Caenorhabditis elegans: one gene and its partners. The main gene of each other region encodes a partner of the protein of the gene in region 3 in a complex. Each region holds a gene or a part of one and is shown on either strand. Other genes may lie near its edges.

Region 1 (4,066 bases), 5.5 Mb from region 3:
CCACTTCAATCCCCACAAAGTGAGCAACCCCTATCTTGCAACAGTTTTATCATCTCTTCATCATACCCAGTTTGATAATTTATTATCTGATCCCCATCCCCTTGTCGCCTCTCATTAGTATCCTAGTTTTTCATTTGAGCCCGGAGCTCAGACTACATCTCCGAATCATCATACAAATAGATAGAAACGGGTCTCGTGACGAAAGAATACGTGCACCACACGACCCCCCCATCCTGTTCACCCCCATACACCTGAAAAATATGATCTTTACAGTTATTTCTATTATATCCTCAAATCTCTCGTAATATCGTATCAATTTCCTCTTCTTTTTTGTCATTTTCAATTTTTCTCAAATTTCTCAGATCTATTCTTTTTCTTGTATTTTTGGAACTTGTATCCCTCCTCCATCCCCAGACTTCCCCTTCCCAGTTACTCTTGTACATTTTCATATATGTCCATATATCGTTTGAATCTCTCATTTATGGAAATAAATTTGAAAAAATCAATCATTGAAAAGCAAAAATTTCATTCAAATAAAATGATGTTGGTGAATTTAACACAGAAAACAGGGGGACTTGATTTATAAATATAGACAAAACGAGAATTAAGCATCGGCCATCTCAACAGCGGGCTCCGGAGCAGATGGAGAAGGACCAGCCTTCTCGGGTTCAGTTGCCACGGCGATATCCATTGGAGATCCTGCAGAAGCATGGGAACATCCACAGCCACCACCAGCTTGGCGAGCAAACAATAGTTGTTTCACGAGATGAGAGATTCTTCCAGTTTCAAGTTCATCTCCGACTGCCTTTGCATCGGTCACGACTTTCATCAAAGCTTCATGTCCATCGACACTTCTGTCATTCAATTGGAGCTTCTTATCGACGGCCGACAGCTTCTGATTGATGTCTTGAATTTGATTGTTGAGGAATTCGACGTTTGAGAAGAGTGGAGAACTGCTGAGAGTGGAAATCCAATAGCTGTTCCACAGAGAAGTCAAGATGTGAGCGTCTGGAATTTTAATTATTAAAACGGGAAAGAATCGGAGATGTTTCTTTTTCAATTGAGACCAATTTCCCGTTGAGATGTTTAATATTATTATTCTTATTTTAAAAGTTTAAAATTTCAAGCTATTCGATTCCAATAAGTTTAAACAATCCAAAAAACAAAGCTTTGAATATTGGATTTTACAGTTGATTGTCCTTTATCGTATTTTTATTATGTAATTCATTCCCGATAAATATAAATTTCACCTACCAAGTTGTGATTTGAAGAAGCTGACGTCAAGCGAGTAGTATCGTTTGCAATGTACACCGAAATCCTCAATCTTTGCGAGAGGAATCGACTGATACTCTGATGGAACATCATCTGGTGGACGGTATCCTTCTGGATATGTACGGAATGCGCCAATGTCAACCTTTCCGGCAGACATAGTTCTCAATGGATCAATAACAATAGCAACCCATGGCTCTTGGAACTTTTGATTGAGTGTCTGCGTTGAGACGTCGATTCCGGATAGCCAGCATCCATATCCAGGATGAGAATGATACCATCCGACGACTTTCTCCTTTCGACCTTCCGTATCGCACATTTCAGAATAAACTGTCATGTACTCGTAGGCTTGAGCTTGGGCATTGACTCTGGAAATTTAAAATGTTCGAAATTACTCCCAGCGTAAATCATTTCACCTGGTCTCAGTACCCTCAACTGGAAGAGCGAATACATCAAGAATAATGAAAGAATTAGCATCGATTCGACCTTGCAAAAGTCCCATAATTTCCAGATTTCCACCTCTTTTCGCGTGCATTGTCATTTTCAGAAGAGCAATTGCAGATATTTTGATTTGTTTGAAATAATGTGGATCTTTATCCCATGGTTTTGCATTTCTGATTTCTACTTGCTGCTTGTTGTTGTACTCGAAAATCGAATCGACATTTTGGACCTGAAACACAAATAATATTAAAAATCTAAAAATATTTAAGAAAAACTGACGTTATTTTCTTTTTCCCAGTTTCTCTGCGGAACTGAGCTGGATGGCTTGACGTTATCAACTTCCATCGTCTGAAAAAAGCATTACCTTGCTAATATTATTAAGAAATACAATCAATAAGACGATAAGGGCATGAAAAATGATAATGAGATGATTTTACATGAAGAATTGAAACAAATTAAGTAATTCTCAGATTATAATTTTTTTAAATCGATTGAAACCAACAAAAACTAAAAAAAATCTGAAATTTGAAATGAGAAAATATCTGTTGTTATTCTAACAACGACACTCCAACTTTCCGTTGGTGCGCGTTGTTTACCGTAAACCGACACCAAGCGGATGTACTACAATTGGAAGACTTGATTTCATAGAAGAACAAATAAATAGGAGAAATGTATTAAAAATGATTATGGCGGAATAAGATATTTAAGTTTTAAATGTCCTAAAGACTGGTTATCCAGCTTGTTGCATTGTGGATCCCTTTTAGAGAAGTTGGCATTCCAGTTCAAAGGTTTTTGCTCAATTCCAGAAACATATCATCAATCTGGTGTAGTCTAGAATGTATACTACAAAATACTGAACCTCATCAATGACCCTTAAATCTTCCAGAAGAATATTCATGAATACTTGCTACTGCAAGCAAAAAGTTTTATAAAAGCCACAAGCTGAGCAAGAAAACATTTCGCAGAAAAAATGTTATCCGCAATTTTCCTGATTATCAACTCGTTGGTGACTGTTTCAGGATATTGTGTTAATTTATTCCTCCTCCACGTGGCAATATTTCATAGTCCGTCTATTATAAGAACATTCTCAATTGTCATTATTAACATGGCATTCACTAATTTTGGAGCATGTCTTAGTGGATTTCTGATTGGACAACGAGTTATTCCAGCTGGGAAACAATTATTTTATATTTCCTATGGAATTTGCTCAAATTTAGGAGAACAGTTTTGTTTTGATATGTGAGTTTGACGTGGAAAAAAAAATGAATGTCAATGGAAAAATGTTCCCGTTTCAAGAAGTTTTTGAAACAGAAGAAATTTGAAAAACAATTATATGTAGGTAGATCAAATTGTTACTGCCCTATTTTTATATTTATCTTAACATTATTTAAACGAGGTTTGGACGGGTTTAGTAAGATGAAAAATTTTTTAAATGGGAGAGGGCTAAATTTAAAAAAAATTAAGTCTTGAACTATAGAAAAACAATAAAAATGGATCATTGTCAAAAGGAATTTTTAAAAATCCTTTAAATCGATGAAAAAAATTAAAATCTAAACATACACTTAAGAAATGTATAGAGTGTTTAAAAATTTCAGTCAGAGTTTCGGCAAATTGCCAAATTTTTTTTGCGAAACTTTTCCCTTTTTGAGAAATTTCATGGATCTCTGCAGGTTTGAAATTTTAGAATTTATAAAATTAATTAATAATTTCGAAAACTCAAAGAAAAATTTATTTTTGGTAAACATCCAAAATTACGATTGCTGAAGCCTAGGACATCAATTAAAAATTAGTTCCAAAAAGTTTTTGAAAAATTTAACTAAAAGCAGTTTGAAATATTTTTCCATTATAGTATATATTTTTCCACATATTTTAGCAAATTAAATCCATCGAAATTAATAAAAAAAAGGTTTCCCCAACAAAGATAGTTTAAAAAAACAGTCTCCACCCACTTATAGGCTCTCTTATGCGCCTGAATCAAACTTTTTTCTTGCATAGGTTTCAATGACAGAATACTCCAATTTTTTAAATCTCCAAAAAAACTTTTTCCAGATTCGGAGCCCTTCTACATTTCCACACTCATGCTCTTTGTCTCATTTTTCTATCTTTTGCATACCGTTTTTATGTGATGAAACATCAAGAGATCTCCCGATGTATTCTTCAAGTTCTCATATTTCTCATCTACATTCCATCATTTATACAATTAATTGCAATGCTCTTTTTTCAAGATACCAATTTTGCAGAAATTCGAATTTTATTCATAGAATCTCTTCCACAACACAACATAACAGATCTTACTGTAACTGGAGCTGTGGATATATTTCAATTCAGTACACCTATTACAATTGGAATTCGTGTT
Region 2 (6,370 bases), 4.5 Mb from region 3:
AAAATAATTTTGTAGATCATTTTTTTCGCATATTTTGGTACAATTACAGTCTATAGGCGCACGAATTTCCAATTTTTGTGCACCTATCGACTGAAAATGTACCAAAATCTGGAAAAAAAATGCGGCAGTAACTTCTAAAATGTGCAAAATAGAGAAGGCATGGTTTTTTTTTAAATATGACTCGAATTTTTTAAATTTAATTTCAAAAAGAATTTGAGAAAAAGGAAAATTAACTAAAATTCCCGTTTTCATTAGCAGAATTTTTGGACTTTTCTTCAAAAAAAGGCTAGTTTCTCCGAACTCTGAAAATTAAGAACAAAGATTGGCTTCGTCCGTCAAGTGACAAACATCTGATTATCATCGAAGCGGAAGAGACTAATCTCTTGTCCCTCCGGCTCCACGAGCATCAGTGTAAAGTGAGACGCCCGTGTGCTTATCGCATAACAAAAAAACAAGATAAAGCGACGGATAAATAGAAATAATCGGGTTTCGAAGTGAACAAAATCCATATTAAGTCAGAAGAGTGGGGAACATTTTCTTTTTTTAAATCAACAGTTTATGGGGAAATTTTTCAAGAGAGAGATAGAAATTATAGAGGAGGGAACCAACAAAACGGGGGACTTTCATGGGAAGAAAATACGATAGGGAGAACCAAAAACAAATATATTAAAAAGAACAGCGAAAAAAAAACAATTAGAGAGCCTCGATTCTCTGATTCACTTCATGGACGTTGTTGTGCGTTTGCTTCAGATTTGCGATGAGGACTTTCAGGCGTTTCTGGAAAAAAATCAATTTTTAAATGGAAACCCAACGAGTAAATATTATATACCTCGAGTAGAACCCATTGTTCCGTTCCGAATCTTCTGTGCTGGTAGGAGCTGACGATGAGAGTTCGGGCCATTTCATTGATTTTTCCGGAAATCGCGTTCACCTGAATCGCGTCGATCACAAATTCTTCGAGGGTCTCATCGGCAAGAATGTCCAATTGTTTGGCCAATTCGTCGAGACTGATTTCCTGAAAAATTCAGCAATTTTTATTTAATTCGGACGTTTCAAATGTTATATAGCCAACCGACGTTTCCATATGGGTCTCGCCACGCAAACAACGAGTTACTGTATCGTAACTTCACATTTTTGCAATATGGGTCTCGGCGCGCTAAAAATCCAATTTTTCAACGAAAATTCAACATTTTCGCATTCAAAGGTGTTCAAATAATTTTGAGCTTTCTCTAACTGAAAAATTGTTAAAATTCGAGATTTCGCTCTTTACAGAAATGGAATATTCAACATTTTCCACAAAATTATAGGTTTTTCGGGAGATTTCCTAGAGACGAGTTATTGTAATTTTAAGAGATTATGACAGGTTTTTAACCTAAAAATCCTCATTTTTGGCCGGGTTTTCATTCGGAAAAAGTCGTTTTTTAGTCTTAGAATCTGCAAATTTGCAGTAAAAAAGTGTGAAATTTTGGTTTTTTGTATTTTTACACTAAAATTTTTACGAAAATTGCATGTTTTTAACCTGGAAATCCACATTAATGGATGTTTCTCATCCGAAAAGTTTGCAATTTATAATTTTTAGCTTTACATTTCAGGTTTTCAGCTTAGAAGTGCTCTTGAATTTTGATTGGAAGGTAAATGAAAAATTTCTGCGAAAATAAAAAAAAAACATATAAGCAGTTCGTAATTCGAGCTACAGTAACTCGTTGTGAGCGTGGCGAGACCCATTTTCTCCTCTTTAATCGTCTATGTAATATCATTCGCCAAAGCCGTTATTTAGTCTTAAAATCTGTAATTTTGCAGTCGAAAAACGATAAAAATGTGTTATTTTGACACTAAAACTTTTCCCTTGAATCATAAATTTCAATAAAATTGCTGCCAAGATTTTCGAAACGAGTTACAGTAACTCGTTGTGAGCGTGGCGAGACCCAGTAATATCCAAACGTACGTTCTTCTCTTCAGCAAGCGACATGAGTGTCAAAAGACGGATCTTCTTGAGAAGAATAGTCTCGTCAACCTTCAAGTGCTCGGTGACAAATTTCGGATTCTTGGCAACAAATTCCTTATAATCCTTGAGAGTTCCAGAGATGAACAACTCGAGAGCTGTGAACATCAGTGGATCGGAAGTCTTCAACGCTTTGACTGCACTGAGTCGTTCGAGATGATCAAAGGAGAATGATTTCGGATCGACGACAGCAGTTCTAACACATTCCATAGCATCATCTCGTGCTGCGGCAGCGTCCTTTTCTGTGTATGTTCCGAGAAGTGCAGTCATAACCTGGAAACACTTTTTTAAAGGTTATGAGGACTTATGATTTTGGCGTTTTAGCTTGTATTGACTCAAAAAAAAATTTCGTGATTTGAAAAATTTCTCAAATTTCTACGGCGATTTAAATCTCTCTCGAAAAATTTCGCTAATTTCAGCTAAAATCTCTGATTTGCCAACTTCTCGTGTCCCAACGGTCAGAAATAAACTTATTTCGGTGGTTTTCGGTAATTTTTTGTTAAATTATGGAAACTTCAAATTATGAAGAAAAGGTTCAATTTTGGTCCAATCTTTGTTGTTTTAGACAAAAGTCGGTCCACTTTTTGGCCAACTTTACAGGCCATTTTCAGTAGAAATTTTGTCATTTTTGGTTTACTTTTCGCGCTTTTCGTTCAATTTAGTCATTTTAGCTCAATTTTTAGTGGAATTTGGCCATTTTGGTTCAATTTTGATCGAATTTTGTTCATTCTTTGGCGAAATTTTGGCATTTTTGTCCACTTTTGGGGTTTTTGGCCAAATTTTGAACATTTTGGTGACATCACCCTCAAATGTACCGCAAACAACAAAACAGTGTGAGATAAGAGACCAAGATTCAATAAAAACTGTGTTCAAGCCGCGAGACGGGACAGTTTGCAAAATTGAAGACTTTAGCAGAAATTAAGCAATATTTAACCGCCATAATTTTTTTAAAGGCAGTTTTTGTGTCTAGCTAAGTATAAAAACCGATAGTTCTTTATCAAACCCACCTTGGCAGCCTGATCAACTCTCTGATCAACAAGAAGTGCACGATGAACTGCTCTCAAGATCTCGCGTTGTCCCTCGACTGGCGTCTTCCATGTGTTGAATCTATCTTGAAGAGTCTCAAGATTGCATTCCAGCTCTCCAATGAGTCTTGCTTCAGCGCACATATCAACGAGCGCCTTGAAGATCTTCTCCTGTACAGTATGGAAGTTCGAGTATCCCTTGTACAAATTCGAGAGCACACGAACGGCGATTCCGGCGTGACTAGCCCATCCGGTTCCCTTGTAGAATTGTGGAGCAACATTCTTGATGAATGAGTCGACGACTGGCTCACACTTCTCGCCTGGCACAACGACGATAAGAGATGATATCGAGTTGAGCACCAGATCGACGTCCTGGGACCATGAAGGAAGCACGTTGAGAGTGGAGCAGATTTCGATCATGTTTTGGGCGGTCTCTGATGGTCCTGAAATTTTTTAAATCCAAATTCTGAAGCAGGGCTGTACCGCAAATCTTTTCTGAAAGTTTACGTATTTCCATGGGAGAAATTCTACAAAATGATCTATTGCATCATGTTGTTCTAACATTTTTCATTAAAAATAATGTGAAAACATAGAAAATCACTTTGTTTATCTGAAAATATCGTTGATTTTAGTTGAGAAATGGCAATTTGTAAGCAATTTTCAAATGCTTAAACTAAAATAAATACTATTTAAGGCCAAATCAATTGATTTTATATATTTTTAGAACAATTTAAATTTTAAAAAAAGTGGGAACAACATGGTGCGATAGGAAAATTTTGTAGAATTGCCGTTTCCACATGATATATTCAATTTTTTGAGAAAGAAATTGATACAGAAATGTTGAAAAAGAGTCGATCGACCTGAAAATGATAAAGATCCAAAAAGATTGGATTAATCCATAATTATTATATCGAAAAAATCAGCTTTACAAGTTTTCCGCACCATTTGGATCAAGCTTCACACTATCGTGCTTGTTGAGGTATTGACGGAGCTCTTGGAGCTGCTTGACATCATCAATGTAGGCGAAAACTGGAAGCTCACGAGTGTCAGCCATCTGAAATATTGTACATGCAGTTTAGAAAATATGGAACTGTGAACGAGCAAAAAGGAGAAATGCACATCAAACTTCAACTCATTCACCTTTATTTCGCGGCGCTATCAACCGTTGCGATCTTCTCAATGTGTCCTTTCCGAATCGCTTCCAGCTGTCTCTGGCTTCTTCTCAAATGATGCTCAATGAGCAACAGGTCACTTGGCTCGAAACGTGTTGCAGCGGCGCGGAACTCGTGCCGAATATGCGTGCGAATGCTCGGGTCACGGCCACGGGAGGCGCGCAAAAAATCACGGTAGGTGGAGAGAACGAGCTTTTGAAGTTTGCTGTGCACTACTCCTCCGCTCATGCGAATAGAGACGAGCCGAAAATTATTCAGGAATAAAATACAAAAAATATGCTTGGAAACGAGAAAAAGAGATATAATAAAGCGTAGAGAACGCCGAGAATATGACACCACAAATACAACAAAAAAATGAATATTTATTTTCATTATAACAACTAAAACTGAACCTATTCAAACCCATCGAACCAGCTGGTAACCTCGTTTTCCCCAACAAACAAGGGTGAGATCGGAGGCATTTTCCAGGAAAACGTCTGCTATTGATTCCGATGGAGATCTTTTCTTCTCTCCATTCACTGAAAATGCTCCTTGTTGCATCAAAAGATGACCTTTCCCACTGCCTAGTCGAGATGCGTCCGCGAGTTGGCCCATTGTTGCTACCTGGGAAGAAAAAGAATAAAATCTTCGACAACTAATTTTTTGATGCTTACATTCTCCTTTTTCAAGTCAATTGTTGTTCTGAATAATTGCAATACTTCACTTCTCGACAATCCCGATAAATCAGCCTTCTTGGCTCCAAACATTGCTTTTGTACACCGCATCGCCACTTCTAAACCTTCTTTTCCGTGCACAATTCGAGTAATTTCGGCGGCCAACTCCCTCTGAGCAATCCATTGTCCAAGATTGCTCCTATGATTCTTCAGAACATCTCTTATATGTTCGATATCTTGCAAACTGAAAAGTAACAGAAGCTCTTCCGCTTTGTCATCGTGAAGCTGCGCGAAGAACTGATAGAAATGGAACGGAGACGTCTTCGTCGCATCAAGCCACAGCGCACCTCCTCCTTCAGACTTTCCGAGCTTGGCACCAGTAGAATCCGTCAGAATCGGGAAGCATACTCCTGCAGCGAAGGCTTGATTCATCATTTTCTTAATATAGTGAGCTCCAAAGTCCAGGTGACCCAATTGATCATATCCACCAAGCTGGAATCGACATCCATACTTTTCGGATAACGTGTACCAGTCGAATGCTTGCATTGTTTGATAGCTGAATTCAGTGTACGATAATCCAACTTCCAGCCGATTCTTTATCGTATTCATTCGAAGCATCTTTCCGACTTGCATATTCTTGCATTCTCTCAGGAAATCTCGTAGACTAATCTGAAAAATATAACATTTTCTTTCTCATCATAGCAAGCCGAATGACTACCTTTCCTAGCCAATCATTATTGTTCACGATGATCGGCTTCTCGCTTGATCCCGGCGCGTTCTCAAAAATCTTGCAGATCTGATCTGTTACTTTCCTCGAGTTGTGCATAATTACATCGCCGGCCAGAAGACCCCGTTCTGAAGGTCATGATTTATTGAGTTTTCAGCGCTTTTCTAGGTAAAAACCTGATTTCTTTCCGCTCGGATCTCCAATACTGGCAGTGAATTCTCCGATCAATGCAATTGGACGTATTCCAAACTGCTGTGCACGAATTAAATTGACGAGAATCAGAAGATTTCCAATGTGAAGGCTCTCAGCAGTTGGATCGAAACCAGCATACACATAAGGTGGAAGCTGCCTGAAATTAAATGGATTATTTGCGGAATTTCGTAACATTCACAAGTTCAACCTCAAATCTTCGCTACATTTAGACAGCAGGTCCGTTGGATACGAGTGTTGCAGCTGTTTTCTCGCGTTTAAGTCGGTGATGTAATCCACGAATGAGCTTTCTCTGAAAAAAAACGAAAAATTAGAATAACCCACTAGCAATTGACTCACCGAGGTGCACGTACCGTTTTTAAGGCCACATTTCCGATTCGTTTGCTGTTGAACATTGTGTACTAGCGGTAGCTGCATAAAAATATAATAGAAATGATATTTTAGTAAAAGAAAATGATTAAAATCCCGTTTTTAGGGACCGCAGTTTCCACAAAACTCCGCGCGGTGGTCGGAGAAAATCCTCGGCCACCCGGCCACGAAAACTCGGCCATTTTGCATTTTCACCATTTTTCATTAATGCT
Region 3 (4,776 bases):
ACACGAAGGAGACGCAGATATGTACGAATGGGATCCAAATACAATGACAGAGACTCTTGTTCGGGAGCCTCCATCGCCTCTGGAGCCCAGTAGTATGATATTCGAGGAGAAAGGAATGCTGAAACTACTGGAAGATTTTCGAAATGGTGAGCTCCGATGGCTAGATGCTCCACAGATTTCTGCGTTGGGAAAAGTGAAAGAAGCGCATGAAGATGTGTCGAATATTCATTTACAAGTTTATGAAATTGAGTCGGCTAGGAGGAAAAAGAGAAAACAAGCGAGGAGTGTCAAGGAGAATTTTGAATTTGTAAGGAAAAATTCGGATTTCCATAAAAAAGGGATTAATTTGTGCAATTTTACGAAGAAATCGGGATTTTTGGAATGTAAAAAGCTCAATGTGATCTAGAAAATGTGTTTTTGGCAGGATTTTCCTTTTTTTTTAAATCCGATTTTCAGTCTATTTTCTAGCTAAACGACTCCGAAGATCTCTCAAAAAACTAACAAAAAATGCGACAGACGCCAGTTTTTTAATCTGAAAAAAAGCAGAAAGTCCCAAAAAACGGTCCCAGGAATCACAAAATATCTGTTTTGTGATATTTAGCGCTGCAAAAAATAAAAAAAACTCGCTGAATGCAATATTCCAATAGCTTTTTACCTTTAAAAAACTCAAATTTTCATTAAAATCATCAAAATTCTGAGAGCCTCACCCATAAATCCTTAGCCTCACCCAAAAATCATGAGAGCCTCAACCAAAAATCCTGGGCCTCAATCAAAATTCCGGAGAGCCTCACCCAAAAATCCAGAAAGCCTCAACCAAAAATCCAGAGAGCCTCAACTAAAAATCCAAAAATACTAGAATATACTAAAATTCCCCATATTTTCAGTCGGATTCGGATGATTCAGAAGAAGAACGAGAAATCGAACGATTATTCGAATCGATGAATACTCATATGATTGACATGCATTCTGCACTCGATACCGTACCATTTTACGACGCTTCTCAAAATCAACGCACTGAAAAAATCGATAACGACGAGGAGTATTTTTCGTCTTGAATCGATCATGTTTCCTGAATTTTTCACGCATTTTCTAATTTGAAAATTCTATAATTTTGACCCAAATTTCTTCGTTTCCAGCTAATATTTGCATTTTTTTAGGGCATTTCTCACAGTTTTTCTCGAAAAATCCCCGTATTGTCGATTTTTTTTTCGAAATTTTTCCGAGCAGGAAAATATTGTGAATTTCACCTGTTTTGAGGCACCACGGATTCAAGATCAGCTGGGATTTTGGATCTAAAATTTCCGAAATTGGCACCGTGCCAACGAATAAAACGCTATTTTTCTCGAAGAAAAGCGTGACAACGATGCTCCGATGTTACGCGTCGCGTGTTGTTTAGCGTATTTTCTATAAGTAATTTTCAAAAAAACAGCGTTTTATGCCTGACACGGTGCTTTTTCGGTGATATTTGAACTGAAATACCCTAAAATTTTCGTGATTCCCTCTATTTTCTAGCAAAGTTTTCTCTTTTCCCCAAATTTTACCCATTTTTCACTAATTTCTCGGTATTTTCCTGTACAAGCTCGATTTTTACTCAATTTCTATATTTTTCTCGGTTTCTTCTCTAAATTTTCTCACCAATCGCCATTCCCTGTGCAATTTTCTCTTATTTTTTCGTATATCTTCTCTTACTCGTTTCTTGTCACACATTTTCACGATAAAATGTAAATATTTTCAGATATCACAGGAAAATCCCATTCACAAAAGGATCATGACAAGTAAGTTTATTATTTAACCTGTAAATTTTCTAAAAAAATCGGAAAAGCTTTTTCAGCTTTTTTCAATAAGCTCTTCACGGGAGCCTCATCATCATCGTCTGCAGCAGCTTCTTCTGGAATGGATCTTGGTAGTATGGAGTCATTGTGTGCTGCGATCAATGAGCTTTGCAGTGAAAAACATGGTAATTTGGAGGGTTTTGTTGGAAAAAGAAGAAAATTAGTGATTTTCTCAATTTTTCAACTTGAAAATGTATTTATTCGCTGAAATTTTCGGGAAATTTGAATGATTTCATTCAAAAACCCATCGAAATTCTCGTAGAAGTTCGTGAAAAATTGATGAATATCATCTGAAAAGGGATCGAATTCCGAAAAAAAAGAGCCAAATTTTGCTGACATCTGAAATTTTTTCTTTGTCCCCAGTTTTCTTTGTCGCAGCCACTGGAATTTTACTTTTCTGAAATTATCACTCTTTAATCTAAGTTTTATTAGTTTATCTTGTGTAAATTCATTGATTGAGACAATTTTAAACCGTGAGGCATCCAATTTTTATCATTTTTGGATGTCTCTTCGCTTAAAAATTGTCTCAATCAATGAATTTACACAAGATAAATTACCAAAATGTGAATTAAAAGTGATAATTTCAGAAAAGTTGAATTACAGTCTCTGCGACAAAGAAAACTGGGCAAAATTTCTGATTTTTGCACTAATATGCCTTTTTTAATTTTGACCTCAACCAAAAAATCATGGTAGCCTCAACCAAAAATCATGGTAGCCTCAACCAAAATTCCGGAGAGCCTCACCCAAAAATCCAGAAAGCCTCAACCAAAAATCCTTAGCCTCAACCAAAAATCCTGAGCCTCAACCAAAAAATCATGGTAGCCTCAACCAAAAATCCTGAACCTCAACCAAAAATCCTGAACCTCAATCAAAAATCCTGAGCCTCAACCAAAAATCATGGTAGCCTCAACCAAAAATCCTGAGCCTCAATCAAAAATCCTTAGCCTCAACCAAAAATCCTTAGCCTCAACCAAAAATCATGGTAGCCTCAACGAAATATCCTGAGCCTCAACCAAAAATCCTGAGCCTCAACCAAAAATTCTTAGCCTCAACCAAAAATCATGGTAGCCTCAACCAAAAATCCTGAGCCTCAATCAAAAATCCTGAGCCTCAATCAAAAATCATGGTAGCCTCAACCAAAAATCCTGAGCCTCAATCAAAAATCCTTAGCCTCAACCAAAAATCATGGTAGCCTCAACGAAATATCCTGAGCCTCAACCAAAAATCCTGAGAGCCTCAACCAAAAATCCTGGTAGCCTCAACCAAAAATCCTGAGCCTCAACCAAAAATTCTTAGCCTCAACCAAAAATCATGGTAGCCTCAACCAAAAATCCTGAGTCTCAACCAAAAATCCTGAGAGTCTCAACCAAAAATCATGGTAGCCTCAACGAAATATCCTGAGCCTCAACCAAAAATCCTGAGAGCCTCAACCAAAAATCCTGAGCCTCAATCAAAAATCCTGAGCCTCAACCAAAAATCATGGTAGCCTCAACCAAAAATCCTGAGCCTCAATCAAAAATCCTTAGCCTCAACCAAAAATCCTGGTAGCCTCAACCAAAAATCCTGAGCCTCAATCAAAAATCCTGAGCCTCAATCAAAAATCATGGTAGCCTCAACCAAAAATCCTGAGCCTCAATCAAAAATCCTTAGCCTCAACCAAAAATCCTGGTAGCCTCAACCAAAAATCCTGAGCCTCAATCAAAAATCCTTAGCCTCAACCAAAAATCATGGTAGCCTCAACGAAATATCCTGATCCTCACCCAAAAATCCTAAGCCTCAACCAAAAATCCATACAAAATTGTTGAAAATTTTTTGTTTCATTATTAAATTCGGTGGTTTTGGACCAGTTGTAGTCTATTTAAGCAGAATACCCACAAACTGTAATCCCGCTTTAAAATAAATTTATTAAAAAATTTGTTTTATTTAAAAAAAAATTCAATTTAAGGATACCGTCAAGCCTATTTTTTCCAGAATTCCGCATTAATTTCCCGTATTTAGTTTCAGAGAATGTTGGTGAACTGGCCGCTGGAATTGTTCGTAAGAATAAAGAGCTTTTCGAAAAGAAATCGAACGATGTTGAAGCATTTTTGCTTCATTGTAGTCCAAATGTTGGTTCAGCTGCAATGGTTGCTGCAATTAAAGGAATGTTTGATACGTCGGCTGCAAAAAATAATGAAACTGGAACAGATCGAGCTGTTGAGCTTCTCAATCATTATGTTGATGAGAATAATTTTGTTGGAGGACATTTGAAGCTTGTACCTGAAATTAGTGAGTTTCTAGATAAAATTGAGAAGAAAAACTGGAAAATATGGATGATTTACATGGAATTTATGCGAAAAATCTAGATTTAAAGAGAAAAATGCAGCTTCACTTCGCCGAATTTTCCGTTTTTTTTTAAAGCAGAAAGTCAAAGACGTCGGATTTCAAAGGAAAATAAAAATAAAAACTTGAATTTAGAGAAAAGCTAGGCAAAAATAGAAAACTTAACTGAAAATTTCTCCTTCTTCCTATAATTCTTCCTAAATTTTATTTTTTTTTTCTCAATTTCCCTCAAAAATCTATAAATTTCAGACTGAAAATTAAAAAACTAAGAACTTCCTAATTTTTCGTCCTCAAAAAAATTCGAAAATCCGAATTTTTCCACAGAAAAAAGTTGTCTGAAAATGCATTCTTTAGTGAAAAAATGACAAATTTTAACGATTTTCTTGTAAAAAGTCACTTTTCCATAGATTTTTTTTTCACTTTTTGAATGGAGCAATTGAAAAATCTTTCAAGAAAAATTGAAAAATATTGGCAAATAAGCTCGAATTTAAAGAAAAACTAGGCAAAAATTGAAAATTTAACTGAAAATTTGATTTTTTTTTAACTTTTAAAATGTAATTTTTTCCAATTTCCCTCTAAAAAAAATTTTTTTTTCAGTTTTCCCACTGCTCCGCGACGTCGG
Region 4 (5,400 bases), about 13 Mb from region 3:
CAAACTGTAGATCTTGCTTTCGTAGACATTGTTTCCGACTAGATATTGAAAACGTGGTGCCTCAAAAATCGCGTTTTTTTTTGTGGTTCTTCTGAATTTGGGAACTTTTTTCGAAGCGAAGCTTACAAGATCCGCCGATTTGCAAATCTCATTCGAAATATCATCGACAATTTGAATAGAAGTTCTGGGATTCTGCGATGGGGTTAGAAGCTCCTGAAAATTTGAATTTTACAGGATTTCAATTGGATTTCAGAGCTCTCCTAAATACCTGAATAAGAGCATCAGTTGATTTTTTAACTGCCGCCGGTAATTCATTGAAACTTTCTGCGGTTTTCAAGTTTTTATTTCCAAATAATCCCTGAAGTTTTAAATTTAAAAAAATCCATTTTCTTGAAAAAAAAAACCGTTTCTTTGTCGACCTTCTCGCTTCGAAATGCTCTAGCCACCCAGCTATTCCGGCTTATCGTTCGACTATGCCGTAATATCACACTTCGAAGCATTTAGTGCTGTAGAAAAAATCACTATAGTCTAAACTAAACTGGATTCTATTGATATAAGGAACGTTTAACCTTTTTTTAATATCGAGAATCGGAGATCAGACATTATATTTCAGATAAATGGGGATGAAAAACACGTAAAGTGGTGTAAAAATTTGAGAAACAATGAAATAAATAAGAAAAAGTGGCATTTTTACAGTGAATTTTTAACAAAAAAAGGATATTTATGAAGCTTGACTCGACTCGTCCGACTCGTTGTGTGCTGTTGCAGATGGTCTTGGAACGTCTGGAATATAGTTGCTTCCCATATTTTCCTCTTGACCTGACAATTCCATTTCGTCCGTGGCGGCTTGCATACCAGAATTCCGACCGAGGAAGTTCATTGCTGAAATCAACATTTTTAATGTTTTCCAGAAGATTTTGAAATGAGGACGCACAAAAATGCTTATTTTTGAAAAAAAAATCGTTCCACGACCAATTGAATCGGCTAAATCGTAAATTTAGAATTTTCCTTCAGGTATTTTTTGTCTTTTTTTTTTGTGCTTTTTAATTAAATTTTAATAGTTGATAAAAAATGTTAAACCTCGTATCTGATGTCAAAACTTCTGAAAAATCCGCTTTCAAAAAATTTCCCCAAGAAGGTGAATTTTTCTGCGTCTTCATAATAATTCAGAATTTCCAAATCTACCTCTTGGCGGAACACGTCGTCTTCTCGATCCAGCTGGAGAATCAGCAGCATGAATTTTTCTCCGTGGTCCACTCATATCGTTCTCCAAATCTTCATCATCAAAATAATCGTCATCCTGGAACAAACATTCCTAAAGGATTTAGAAATATTCTAAATGCATTAACTTACATCTGCCTGCTGCGGACGACCGAGATGTTGTGATTTGAATCGAACCGGATGAGCCCAACGGCTTGTCGATTTTCCATGGAATCCATCGTCGGCGAGAAGATCGGCTCTTTGAGCTGACAACTTGTTCCACACATTTTGCATATTTCCGAGAAGAGTTGTCAATCTTGGCATCAGAGAGAATACGGTCATTGTTTTCTCTTCCTTTTCGAAACTATCAGTGAACTCAGCAGCATATCGATCAATGGTTTTGAGCTTTTGAGCAAGCAAGTTAGCTTCCTTCAAAATTTCAAAATTCGGTTGAAGTGTTCCGTCTTGCACTTTTTCGAGATAGGCAACGATTAGCTGAAAATTATTTTTTTGTAAAAAAAATTAAAGGCGGAGTAGTCGAAATTGTTTTATTGCTTTATTAGACTCAAAATTGTCTGAAAACACCGAATTTCATAATGAAACTTCTTGAAAATTTCTCAATAAAAAGTTATGACGGCTCAAAAAATGGCCTAAAATTAGTTAAAATTTGAAATTTGACCGTCTTGCAATGTTGCAGCGGCTGGAAACAATTTTTTTTTTTGAAAGCACCGTCAAATTTTGAGCATACAATGTCATTATCTTGCGTTTTTAACTCGATTTGGGTACTTTAAAGTCGATGGACGGCGAGATTTCGTAAAAAAAAAATTAAAAATATCGCCGTCCATCGGCTTTAAAATACATAAATGAAGTTGAAAACGCAAGATATTTAAATTTTATACTCAAAATTAGATGGAGATTTCAAAAAATTAGTTTCCAGCCGCTTGACAAGTCGGTCAAATTTCAAATTTTAACTACATTTAGGCTATTTTTTGAGCCGTCATAACTTTTTTTTGAGACGTTTTCAAGAAGTTTCATTATGAAATTCGGTGTTTTCAGTCAATTGTGAGTCTAATAAAGCAGTAAAACTATTTCGACTATTCCACTTTAGTTTGCTGCTGTATTGATTTTCATAACGAGATTTCTCAAAATAATATTAATAAACTTTTTAAGTATGTCAAAATTTCAAAAAAAAATAAGAGCCAAAACTGTCTAAATTCTGAAATTTCGCAAACTTTTCATGTCGCAGCAGCTGTTGTTACATATTTTAGTCGTTTAGCTCGCAATTACTAGTAAATGGAGGTACTTTTTTCAAACATTTTTTCCAAAATTAGGTGTCAATCGACTGAAAATGTGTCTTAAATCAACGAATTAATGCGAGATAAGATCGAAATATGCATTTTAGCGAATTTTAGGTATTATTTTAAAATTTTTGAACCGCTAAACAGCATTTTCAGAAGTCTCATTATGAAATTTTGTCTTTTTCTGGCCTCCAATTTCTCGAACGCACATCAACCCGATTCTGAAGCATGCTCATTGCTGCATCTTGAGCCTCCGCGTGTTTCTTTCCAACTGATTTCCCGTCTTTTCCATGTTTCGTTGATAACTTAGCGATATGATTAACACCGACACGTTCACTTTCTTCCGACACTAAAATCCATTCAATTGGCTTATGCTTCTCCTGATCAGTCACGTCTGCTTCAAACGCGAAAAGTGGAAGTTTACGAGTGGTTCCAGCAGTGATAGAGTTGAGTTTAAGGAAAAGTGTCGCGTCGATTTGTCCGGCTTTCTCTGAATTGCGAACCGCATTGGTGAGTTTTGAGAGAAGAGGTTTCTCTTCGGGAGTCAGATTATCATCCTCCCCAGCACAATAAAGACCGATAACTTGGAGCTCGGGAAACACTTCCAGATCTGAAATTTGGGGAAAAAAAACTAAAATGAGCAAGAACAGAGTAAAACTGACATTGATCTGCTCTTTGAAGGAGATGCTCCGTGCTAAAAGTAACCGGCTCAGCCATTTCTTCTGTCTCCATTTTCAGAACAAATGAATTGATCGCCTCGACTTGTCGTCCATTCTGCCGTCCGAGAATTGCTCCGAACACTTTTTTCACAGTAGGACCCTGTTGGACCTTTGTTCTGGAGTAGTGTTCGGACATTTGCATAATAACCAAAGGATGCAAAAGCACCTTCGAGCTACAGCTCCCGCTTGGTGCGTTCAATGCCATTTCTGAAAATTATTTCGAAATTTGGTTTCGAAATCGGTTTTTTTGTTTCAAGCCAGATAATGATTTGGAAATTTTGAAAATATTCCTGGATTCACTGGTGGAAAAACAAGCTAAACGGGAATTTTATTGATTCACATTGACATAAGTTTTACAGAACATAAAACTTCCTACAAAAAAGAGATAATGCAATCGAGTGGAAATTATTTAGGATCCTGGAGCCTTGACGTGGCTAAGTGGTGGAAGTGGAGTTCCGTTGACCAACGAGATGAGGTTGTAGATGGCGATGACAAAGCAGATGTAGGAAAGGACCTTGGCGATCTTGCTGACAGCGACATCGAATGGTCCAGCCTCTTCGGACTTCTTTCCTTCGAGAAGAGCATTGGCGTAGGTATCAACTCTTTTCTTGAGGATTGGATCGTAGAGTCCGTACTTTCCCATGACAAGGTTTCCGCATTTGGTTCCCTCTGGCAGACGTGGAAGGATCTTTCCTCCGGCTCCGAGTTGCCACTCTCCTGGGTTCAGTGGATCGAATTGTTCGAGGGTTGGTGGGGTCTTTCCGGCGTTGGTTGGAACAGCCTGGAAGCTGGCGGTTCTCATGGAAAAGCGAGCGACGCCCAAAGTCTTTCTCAAAGCCAACGACATGATTTTCCTGAAAAATGTGTTTTAAAATGTGGAGAAAGAAATAAAGAATAAAAAAATGAAATTAAGATAAGAAAAGTGAAACGAACACTTTTTATGAACATAACAAATATAATTTGTTAAAAAGAATGAAAAGCTTTATTTATAAACAAGTATTTACAGTGGCCATGGGCACCACTAATAAAATGGAAGAGGACTGGCGTGATAAGCTCGTTTTCCACATTCCAGAACTGCATCAAACAAACGGAAAAGTCCAGTATCTCTTGGTCGCTCTAAACCTCTACGCATTCTTCTCCTCATCACAGCAACCATTTCTTCATGTGATAATTTTCCATCCAAATTGTCATCGAACAAAGTAATCACCACATCCACAACGTGATCCGATAGAGGTATTCCAGTCACTTTGACCGCAACTCGTTGAAGTAGCTTCGCATCTATCGACATTCCAGCCATTTTATGAAAGTGTAGAGCAATATCTACATCGTCAATGTGATACAAAAACTCGAAAAATGCTTTCGTCTCTCCAAAACTGATTCCTTTCAAATTTTCTCCTTTAAATCTTCGTTTAACCCGCTTCAACATATGCTTCTGTTTCTTCTCATTAATTTGAGCATGAAGAAGGAGAAGTTGAGCAAAACTATCTTCGTTGATAAGTCCATCCGGGTTATCCAGTGCATCTCTCCGTTCAAATTCCATCTTTAAAATGTCGTGTTGTAGACGCTCTTGAAACTCGATAAATTTTTCAGACGACAAGCTCCCCTTTCCGTCTTTTCCAAAGAAATATGTTTCGAGAGCGGAGTTTGTCTCGACACGGAACGACTGGTTTGGCGTTATATGATCTCGATGACGCTGTCCTACAGTTGTTTGGGACATAATAAGCTGTTGAACTTTTGTGAATTCTTCTTTATCCAGCGCACCGTTCCCATCTACATCGAAGATTTTGAATGCGAGAGCGAAATCCGCGTGAGAGGCTGGAAAAGTCAATGATATTTTGAAAGAAAAACGAGTATTAAAACTCACTTGAGAGCAGAGTCATGAGAAACAGATAATCACTGAAGTTTATGAGACCGTTCTCGCCGAGCTTGTAAAAAATACTGTCAGGGTCGGAGAACTTGTGACGTTTATGCTTCTCAGGATTATAGTTTTTAAAACTATCAAGCCCCCAACGTCTCGGCTGCATCACACCCGGAGTGAAAGAACGGAGAAAATCCTCAGGAGTCATGAAAACTTCAAAGCGTCCACTGTCTTCGTTAGGATCGATGATCTGAAAAATACAACTAATAAATAGATTTTTGTCAAAGTGACTCACTTTCAGGGTCGCAAAGTATCTGAAAATCTT

Evidence for each region.
Region 1: csn-3 (region 3) and csn-5 share a complex: the UniProt entries of both Caenorhabditis elegans proteins name them as parts of the CSN complex.
Region 2: csn-3 (region 3) and cif-1 share a complex: the UniProt entries of both Caenorhabditis elegans proteins name them as parts of the CSN complex.
Region 4: csn-3 (region 3) and csn-6 share a complex: the UniProt entries of both Caenorhabditis elegans proteins name them as parts of the CSN complex.

What each region holds. Positions count from the first base shown.
Region 1 is NC_003282.8:5,647,525-5,651,590, reverse strand, and holds csn-5 (COP9 signalosome complex subunit 5), read right to left. Parts: upstream 2,059-4,066; 5' UTR 2,056-2,058; coding exon 1,990-2,055; intron 1,940-1,989; coding exon 1,686-1,939; intron 1,638-1,685; coding exon 1,255-1,637; intron 1,009-1,254; coding exon 605-1,008; 3' UTR 512-604; downstream 1-511. UniProt on the Caenorhabditis elegans protein: Probable protease subunit of the COP9 signalosome complex (CSN), a complex involved in various cellular and developmental processes.
Region 2 is NC_003282.8:4,706,313-4,712,682, forward strand, and holds cif-1 (COP9/Signalosome and eIF3 complex-shared subunit 1), read right to left. Parts: upstream 4,444-6,370; 5' UTR 4,168-4,443; intron 4,082-4,167; coding exon 3,970-4,081; intron 3,471-3,969; coding exon 3,010-3,470; intron 2,276-3,009; coding exon 1,946-2,275; intron 1,016-1,945; coding exon 830-1,015; intron 778-829; coding exon 694-777; 3' UTR 542-693; downstream 1-541. Other genes in the region: yars-2 (Tyrosine--tRNA ligase), read right to left, coding at 4,596-4,802, 4,853-5,521, 5,571-5,707, 5,756-5,928, 5,980-6,081, 6,129-6,184. UniProt on the Caenorhabditis elegans protein: Component of the eukaryotic translation initiation factor 3 (eIF-3) complex, which is involved in protein synthesis of a specialized repertoire of mRNAs and, together with other initiation factors, stimulates binding of mRNA and methionyl-tRNAi to the 40S ribosome.
Region 3 is NC_003282.8:193,010-197,785, forward strand, and holds the start of csn-3 (COP9 signalosome complex subunit 3), read left to right. Parts: upstream 1-1,732; 5' UTR 1,733-1,768; coding exon 1,769-1,775; intron 1,776-1,831; coding exon 1,832-1,957; intron 1,958-3,830; coding exon 3,831-4,100; intron 4,101-4,751; coding exon 4,752-4,776. Other genes in the region: intk-1 (INTaKe), read left to right, coding at 1-307, 885-1,055. UniProt on the Caenorhabditis elegans protein: Component of the COP9 signalosome complex (CSN), a complex involved in various cellular and developmental processes.
Region 4 is NC_003282.8:13,298,852-13,304,251, reverse strand, and holds csn-6 (COP9 signalosome complex subunit 6), read right to left. Parts: upstream 3,429-5,400; 5' UTR 3,423-3,428; coding exon 3,161-3,422; intron 3,109-3,160; coding exon 2,708-3,108; intron 1,696-2,707; coding exon 1,354-1,695; intron 1,316-1,353; coding exon 1,186-1,315; intron 883-1,185; coding exon 722-882; 3' UTR 551-721; downstream 1-550. Other genes in the region: Y67H2A.7 (Peptidase M3A/M3B catalytic domain-containing protein), read right to left, coding at 127-213, 269-358, 405-500; kdp-1 (KASH (Klarsicht/ANC-1/Syne Homology) Domain Protein), read right to left, coding at 3,627-4,064; micu-1 (Calcium uptake protein 1 homolog, mitochondrial), read right to left, coding at 4,239-5,032, 5,082-5,325, 5,371-5,400. UniProt on the Caenorhabditis elegans protein: Component of the COP9 signalosome complex (CSN), a complex involved in various cellular and developmental processes.